Xenopus tropicalis: one gene and its partner. The protein of the gene in region 2 purifies or fractionates together with the protein of the main gene of each other region. This does not show direct contact. Links are inferred from orthologs where the notes say so. Each region holds a gene or a part of one and is shown on either strand. Other genes may lie near its edges.

What was found.
Region 1: the proteins of sap18 (region 2) and srsf1 purify together in Homo sapiens (co-immunoprecipitation; 4 studies listed by BioGRID and IntAct, with this or other methods). This does not show direct contact. The link is inferred for Xenopus tropicalis from reciprocal best matches to the Homo sapiens genes SAP18 and SRSF1.

The regions. Positions count from the first base shown.
Region 1 is NC_030678.2:76,103,894-76,107,882, forward strand, and holds the start of srsf1 (serine/arginine-rich splicing factor 1), read left to right. Parts: upstream 1-1,189; 5' UTR 1,190-1,443; coding exon 1,444-1,637; intron 1,638-2,618; coding exon 2,619-2,860; intron 2,861-3,687; coding exon 3,688-3,860; intron 3,861-3,989. UniProt on the Homo sapiens protein: Plays a role in preventing exon skipping, ensuring the accuracy of splicing and regulating alternative splicing.
Region 2 is NC_030678.2:157,764,680-157,768,701, reverse strand, and holds the start of sap18 (histone deacetylase complex subunit SAP18), read left to right. Parts: upstream 1-1,222; 5' UTR 1,223-1,290; coding exon 1,291-1,362; intron 1,363-3,094; coding exon 3,095-3,204; intron 3,205-3,633; coding exon 3,634-3,756; intron 3,757-4,022. UniProt on the Homo sapiens protein: Component of the SIN3-repressing complex. Enhances the ability of SIN3-HDAC1-mediated transcriptional repression. When tethered to the promoter, it can direct the formation of a repressive complex to core histone proteins.

The sequences.
Region 1 (3,989 bases), about 82 Mb from region 2:
TAAAAGGCATACATTTTCGAGTATTTTTCTGTTATGGATTTTTTTTACATTCCAGCATCAGTTTCTTAAATACTTTTGCACTTTTTGAAGTGCTTTTCCACTTCAGCCCAGGGTTGCACTCCCTACTCTGTAAAGCGCTGGGCAATATATAAATGTACGTATAACTTTATTTATAAAGCGTTAGAAGGGTACACAGCGCTATACAATCTTACAATATACACAATTACACACAGGGAGGACAACTGTTATAATAAATACAAGAAGTATAAATACACAGATTGAGCGCCATGTGGTGTGAGAGAGTAGGAAGGAGGTCCCTGCCCCATAGAGCTTACAATTTCACTGCCCAATCTAAGCTCGACTAAAATAAAACAAACAAATATGCACAAGGCCCAAACAGGAGTGTAATGTAAGGCATGTATTTATTATCAACACATAAATATTTGTAGAGTGTAAGCTCTTTTGGGCAGGGCCCTCTTCACCTCTTGTATCGGTTATTGATTGCTTTATATGCTACTCTGTATGTCCAATGTATAAAACCCTTTTATTGTACAGCGCTGCAGAATATGTTGGCGCTTTATAAATAAATGTTAATAATAATAAATAGGACAAAGTCTTCCCAACCTTGTTTGCAATATTACCCTGACAGCAGTTACAAAGTATTGAATTGCAGTGCTACTTTAATGGGGAAACCATTGAGAGTGGACCACAGAGACCTTATCCGCACACCCTAACACTCCAAAAAAAATTTTGTACGGTGCACACTGCTAGAGGGATCGGCACCCTCCAAATACACTGTAACAACAAAAAAAGCAATTGGCACTCAGGACTACAAACAAGGGTAAAACCCTTTTAAAAGTTTTATTGCGGAAACCATTGAGAGCACACCTGTAGTTAATGATTTTCATACTCATAATGAATGTCACTGCAGATAAAGAGCTAACAGCCTCCGACCATGGTTCTATAATACAAAACCACCTAACAACAGCCATGGCGCACGACGAGTAACAAAACATTTTTCAAACAACACCCACTGCCCTCCCCCACTATGGGCGCGCATTTCCTGGACGGACGTGACGTCAAGCACAGGGTATAGAAAGCCCCCCTATCACATACAGAGAAGCAGCTTGAGCTCAGGTTTCTAGTATAAATATTACCTCAGTGAATAGATTCTTTCTTAGGGCCGTAATTGGCACATAGCTTTAGGAACATTGCATCGTGAAGACGTGGAAACGAGAGGCTCTATATTGTCTCGGCGTAAGATTACCTTTGTTGAGGACGCACCACTGCGAGTTCTTAGTATCCTTGCGCGGCTAAAGCAAGGGAGGAAGTAACTCCGCCATCTTGTCCAAGCTCTGAAGCGCGCATCGAAGGTCTGTTTGGCTTCCAACTCCATTTCTTTTTCTTCTCAATCCGTCTCCCTTTAAATCCATCAAGCTGGATATGTCAGGGGGCGGCGTGATTAGGGGGCCGGCGGGTAACAACGATTGCCGTATCTATGTTGGCAATCTGCCGCCAGACATCCGCACCAAGGACATTGAGGACGTTTTCTACAAGTATGGGGCCATTCGGGACATAGACCTAAAGAACCGCAGAGGGGGCCCGCCATTCGCCTTTGTGGAATTCGAAGATCCAAGGTAATCCCTGTGTAAATGTTTTTGCTTTGGCCTATCGTGCTAATGGGCTCGCCTAGTGTTAACTGGTGAATAACTACAATATACCTTGAGTGTATCCGGGGGCGGGGTGGTGGTACTGCGACTTTATTTCTGCTGTAGTTGATAAAATGTCGTCCGCTGTTGTATTAGAGTTTATATATAGTCGAGGAGGCCAGTGAGGGGGGGAATTAGGCCTGATTATGGTGCAGGTTATGTTTCAACATCGGTGCGTTGTATCATTATTCAAGTTAATATATTTAGCCTATAATCCCTACAGAGTGGCGCCAGAATGAGGTATTATACACTCATTGTGTATCGCCATTAGCACGTGTAAATCCCTATTTATTACCGCCTTTAGGCAACAGCGCCCCCTGTGTGTGGGACCGAATAGCGCTTCCGCTCTTTGTTCTGCAGCCCTGCACCATGCTTACTAGTGTGTTAAGGGAAGGCATTCTAACAAGCAAATGTGCTTTGGGTTATTTATTGACCTGTTTGCTTTAAAGCCGCTGCCTCATGTCTCTGCTATAAAGCATGCAATTAGGCTCACTGCACTTATTCAACCAGAACTCCTAACACCTTTTATGTAGGCTGCTTGGAGAAGTGCAGTATTGATATTCAATAGCAACACTACAAAATGAATAATGGGTGTTTAAGCATCTGCACTATATGCACATATGTAAAGTATTGGTGAAAATGTACTGTTTAAATGTAAATACAAAAGCTTTTGTGTAGTCATGGGGGCAGCCATTCATGTCTAAAAGACTGTTAAGATACAATGGCTTGCTTACACAGAATTAATCTGGGGTCATGTGTCGTTTGTAGCTCTATACATGACTGTAATAAAGTTTTCTCATTTACAGCCAAGAAAGTTTTCCAGGATATGTAATTACCATTGTAGGTGAATATTCTCTTCTTAACCTGGCATTCTTTAACTAAAGCAATTCTTACCTTGGTTTCTCTTAGGGATGCAGAAGATGCTGTCTATGGTAGAGATGGCTATGATTATGATGGCTATCGCTTGCGTGTTGAGTTTCCAAGAAGTGGGCGAGGAGCTGGAGGCAGAGGTGGTGGTGGTGGTGGCGGCGGCGGAGGAGGAGGTGGTGGAGGCGGCGGCGGCGGTGGTGGTGGTGGCGGCGGAGGAGGAGCTCCCCGAGGGAGATATGGACCTCCATCAAGACGTTCAGAATACAGAGTGGTTGTGTCAGGTAAGAGTTCTATCAGGTGGCAGGTTTAAAAACCAAAGTAAAAACATCAGTTGCAAAGTTTTAGAGGAATAATGCCCATCAGGTTTTTACAAGCAGCGTTATTTCACATGTATACAATAATGAGTTGGACACAGTTATGCATACATTCTAAAGTATTATGCATTCTATACCAGTGGATATGACTGACCATTAATGTATACAAACAGAACTACTAGTATATCTCCCTTTAACTTTAGTTCAGTTAACGGCTTGCATCAGCTTAACAGAACTTAAGCAACTCTCTGCTTGGTCCTTGCAAGGTAGATAATTGTATTACAGTTCACACACAATTCTCCTGCATAATGGACTTCAAACCATGCAGTCACAAGAAAAGGGAAGGATAGGGTATTGTCTTCAAACAAGATATTAAATGGCCCTGTCTGGTTGCTCAGGATGCTATCTGGACTATGAAAACTTGCACATGTTGCTATGTTACCTTCAGTTCAAACATGAAGCACTGCAACAAATTTACCTTTAAAACGTACTAAATGTAAACCCCTGAGTTATTTTAGCAGAATTGGGCTGTTGTGAGTCTCGCTGGAAGCATGGTTCAGATTAAAACAATGGGTTTTCCCCAGGATGCTGTGTTCATTTAAGCAATACAGCTGTCTTTGGACTGTTTTAATGCTCCATGCATTGCTGTATAACCAGCATAGATACCTACTCTTGGAATTTTGGCACTAGAAGTTCATAAACCATTTTAAATTTCCACCATTTGCATGCTTTTAATTATGTATAAAACTGCTTTTGATACCAAATTTGACACTCTGATAACTTTATATTTCTAGGGTTGCCTCCAAGTGGCAGCTGGCAGGATTTAAAGGATCACATGCGTGAAGCAGGTGATGTATGTTATGCCGATGTGTTCCGAGATGGTACTGGAGTTGTGGAGTTTGTGAGGAAAGAAGATATGACATATGCAGTACGGAAGCTGGATAACACTAAATTTAGGTCTCATGAGGTAAATACTAAATTGTTTAGTAGTTTGTGTTAAGTTTTTCTCTACCTATTGTGACTAGCAGTATCTGTTTTACATGACCTCTGAAGCCAATAGTGATGTTGGCCAAATACATAAGGTGCCAAAAGATAT
Region 2 (4,022 bases):
GATTTTTCCTTTTATCATCAACCTTTTATCTCATGTTATGATACATTTTGCTTTAGCAATTATTCGCTATATCAAGCATTTTGTTTAAATAGTTTATTTGAAACAAATCTTTCTTTTTAACGTGAGATGTAAAAGGATTAGGCTGATGCCACACGTGGCGTTTTTACGCTGCGTATTTTCTAATTCTCTCAGCGGCTGAAAAACGCCCAATATCATCATCCATAGAAATAACTTGAAAAGACTCGAAGCAAACCACACAAAGCGTAAATACGCTAGAAAACGCCTTAGCACGGATTTTTCAAGCGTTGGCTGAAATACGCCAGTATTTGCACAGCCAGCTATTCCTATGTATACACAAAGGCAGCTGCCAGACCTAGCGGAAATACGCAGCGTTTTTTACTATTTCGCACTATTAGCTCCATGGAAAAGGGATTTGCTATGTCACCAGTACTAGGCTGAAAAACGCCATAGTCAGGGGCTGTGTGGCTTGTGCGGCGTTTTTAGGCTGAGAAAAAACGCAGCGGAAAAACGCCGCGTGTGGCATCAGCCTTACAGAACATTCCTTTACCGGTGCTCCATCTGCTGCTATGCTCTCTGTACCTTTTGCTTAATTGTTACTAGTAATTTCTCTTTGTTTTCATACAATTAAAAATATTCTATAACTATATAAAAAAGGATTTCTAGTGGATTTGTTGATTTAAAAAAAGAAATCAAATCATTATCTTCTGAAACTAAAGCACCAGTGTTGCCCGTTCAGTTCTGTACTTCACACTGTGGGTCGAACACTAGTGGGTCTGACAAGATGGCACTGCAGCCAGGTGTGTGTTTTGGAAAGAAGAGCTCAGCAGGACCCCCAGATACAGAAGAACGGCCCCTGCCTCAGCACAAGTGACCCCCTTCCTTACAAATCACTCAGTACAGTGTTATTTAGTACTTGGGCAGCAGCCCATAGCAACCAATCAGTGATTAGTTTTCTCCTTCCAGCTGCAGGTACAATACAAAAATAACAATCTGATTGGTTGCCATGGGTTACTGCCCAGGAACAAAAACTTGCTCTGTTTGGCAAACTTTACTCCCGCGTCTCCACACAAACAGCGCCTAGATCGTTTAAGAGCGCACACTAACACCAGGGGGCGGTAGCGCTAGTGTTTCCGTGTTCCAGGCGGGCTGGTTTGATGACGTATAGTCGACGCGCCGGAAGTTAGTCGCCTGAGTGCAGAGCGCTGGACTTCGTGGTGTTTGTAGTTCTATTAATCGGTAAGGCTGGCTCTTTCCACCAAACTGGAGAAGATGGCGGTGGAATCGCGGGTGACGCAGGAGGAGATAAAAAAGGAACCGGAGAAACCAATCGATAGAGAGAAGGTAATGGGAGAGTTCATTGAATGGGATCCGGTCCCAAATACAGCCGTGTTGTTACTCTGAGCGGAATCTCTCAGGCACCACATAGAACCCTGCCTAGAATTACTAATACCAATGCCTAGAATTACTAATACCAATGCCTAGAATTACTAATACCAATGCCTAGAATTACTAATACCAGTGCCTAGAATTACTAATACCAGTGCCTAGAATTACTAATACCAGTGCCTAGAATTACTAATACCAGTGCCTAGAATTACTAATACCAATGCCTAGAATTACTAATACCAATGCCTAGAATTACTAATACCAGTGCCTAGAATTACTAATACCAATGCCTAGAATTACTAATACCAATGCCTAGAATTACTAATACCAGTGCCTAGAATTACTAATACCAATGCCTAGAATTACTAATACCAATGCCTAGAATTACTAATACCAGTGCCTAGAATTACTAATACCAATGCCTAGAATTACTAATACCAATGCCTAGAATTACTAATACCAGTGCCTAGAATTACTAATACCAGTGCCTAGAATTACTAATACCAATGCCTAGAATTACTAATACCAATGCCTAGAATTACTAATACCAATGCCTAGAATTACTAATACCACTAAGCGCTACATGTAAGCGAAATGAATCACTCATGGTTAGTGTAGTGCCTAGGGCTCTATTGCCAGCACTTTTGAGCAATTAAAGGAAAACTTAACCCTTAGAAGGAATATGGGAAGAAACTGTATTTTATATACTGAATGTAATACAAAAGCCGGAAGGTTCAGCATCTCTATGATTCTCTATGGCTTCAATGAGCCAGGCCTTCTGAGTTATCATAGGAGCTCCCCATGTTGGATTTTGTTAGAGGTGTCACTGACACTGCACATGCTCAGTGTGCTCTGAGAAGCTAAAGCATAGGGGTTGTTACAAATCATGAAGTTCATATAAGTTGTTGCTGCAGGGCTGATTATTAAAGGAACAGTAACACCCAAAAATTAAAGAGTTTTAAAGTAAAAGAAATATAATGTACTGTTGCCCTGCACTGGTTAAAGGTAAAAGTTGTGTGTTTGATACAGTAACTCTACTATAGTTTATATAAATAAGCTGCTGTGTAGCCATGGGGGCAGCCATTCAAGCTGGAAAAAAGGAGAAAAGGCACAGGTTACATAGCAGATAACTAATAAGCTCTGTAGAATACAATGGTGTTTTATCTGTTATCTGCTAAGTGCCTGTGCCTTTTCTCCTTTGAATGGCTGCCCCCATGGCTACACAGCTAAATTCTTTATATAAACCATAGTAGTGTTTCTGAGGCAAACACACCAGTTGTACCAGTGCAGAGCAGCAGTACATTATATTGGAATTTCTTTTATACACTTGAATTTTTTTGGTGTTACTGTTCCTTTAAACTCAGAAGCTGACACTTGAGAATCTGAATTAATTACTAATCAGCTCAGGTACAGGACAGCAGCATAGTATGGGCAGTGAATCAGCAGGAAAGAAGATGGGGGGGCTACTGGGGGTACAGATCTTCCCTGCTAAAGGGTCGTGGTTGTGTTGCACAACATTTCTAACCTATTTTTTGTTAAGCTTTAGTTTTCCTTTAATGTGCACAAAGTGGGCAGTGTAACACAAGTGTAAATGTAACAAGCTTCTTCGCCAGATTCCCACATATCTACCATCCAGCCCAGTGTTCTGAACCAGATCTGCCTCAACCCATTGCCATTTTCTTCCTAGACCTGCCCTCTTCTCTTGAGGGTTTTCACAACAAACAACGGGAGACACCATCGCATGGATGAATTTTCGAGGGGAAACGTGCCATCCAGTGAGCTACAGATCTATACCTGGTGAGATAAGCAGTAAAGGTATTATGTTATGGGGGAAAATCCTGCTAGAATGTAAGGAAAGTGGGGGTCATTCCTGCTCTGCTCCAGTCTCACACAGAGTTCAGATAATGTGCCCATGTGGCAGACATGCTGCTATGCCACTACCCATGGGTTCTGCTCAGCAAACATGAGCCCTATAGTAAGCTATGCTATTACCCATGGTTTCTCTGAAAATTTTGAAAAGAGATTCTGATTTGAGCCACTAGGCCCCCTGTGTTTTTATAAATATTATGGAAATGCACTCCTGAGCACAGGTTTGGTATTTGGTTCAGACTGTAACCATATTTATAGAGCAGCGTGCATTTATGTATATAATATGTGAATTTAGTTTTTTGTAGTTCTTGTTTATGATATATATGATTTCATGTTTATCTGCTTTATTGCTTTTAGGATGGATGCCACGCTGAAGGAATTAACAAGCTTAGTTAAAGAAGTTTACCCAGATGCTCGGAAAAAAGGAACTCATTTCAACTTTGCTATTGTCTATCCGGATCCAAAGCGATCAGGCTACAGGTTTGGCTACATTTAGGAATTCTATTTTTATTTCTAACGGACCAGGCAGAAATATATCTGCAGTATTCCCAAAATGCAGAGTAGTGAGGTTCCCACTTCCCTCTGAAACAATTGCTCACTATTGCAGTAGAAGCCAGGTCCTAATCGGCTTTAGCTGCGAATGCTCAATGATGGCATTTGGTCTAGAGAAAAAAATGAAGCAATGGGAGATGGAGCACACCAACCCTGCTGCACTGCCCTGCACTTTGGGAACAGCAAAGGCAAAC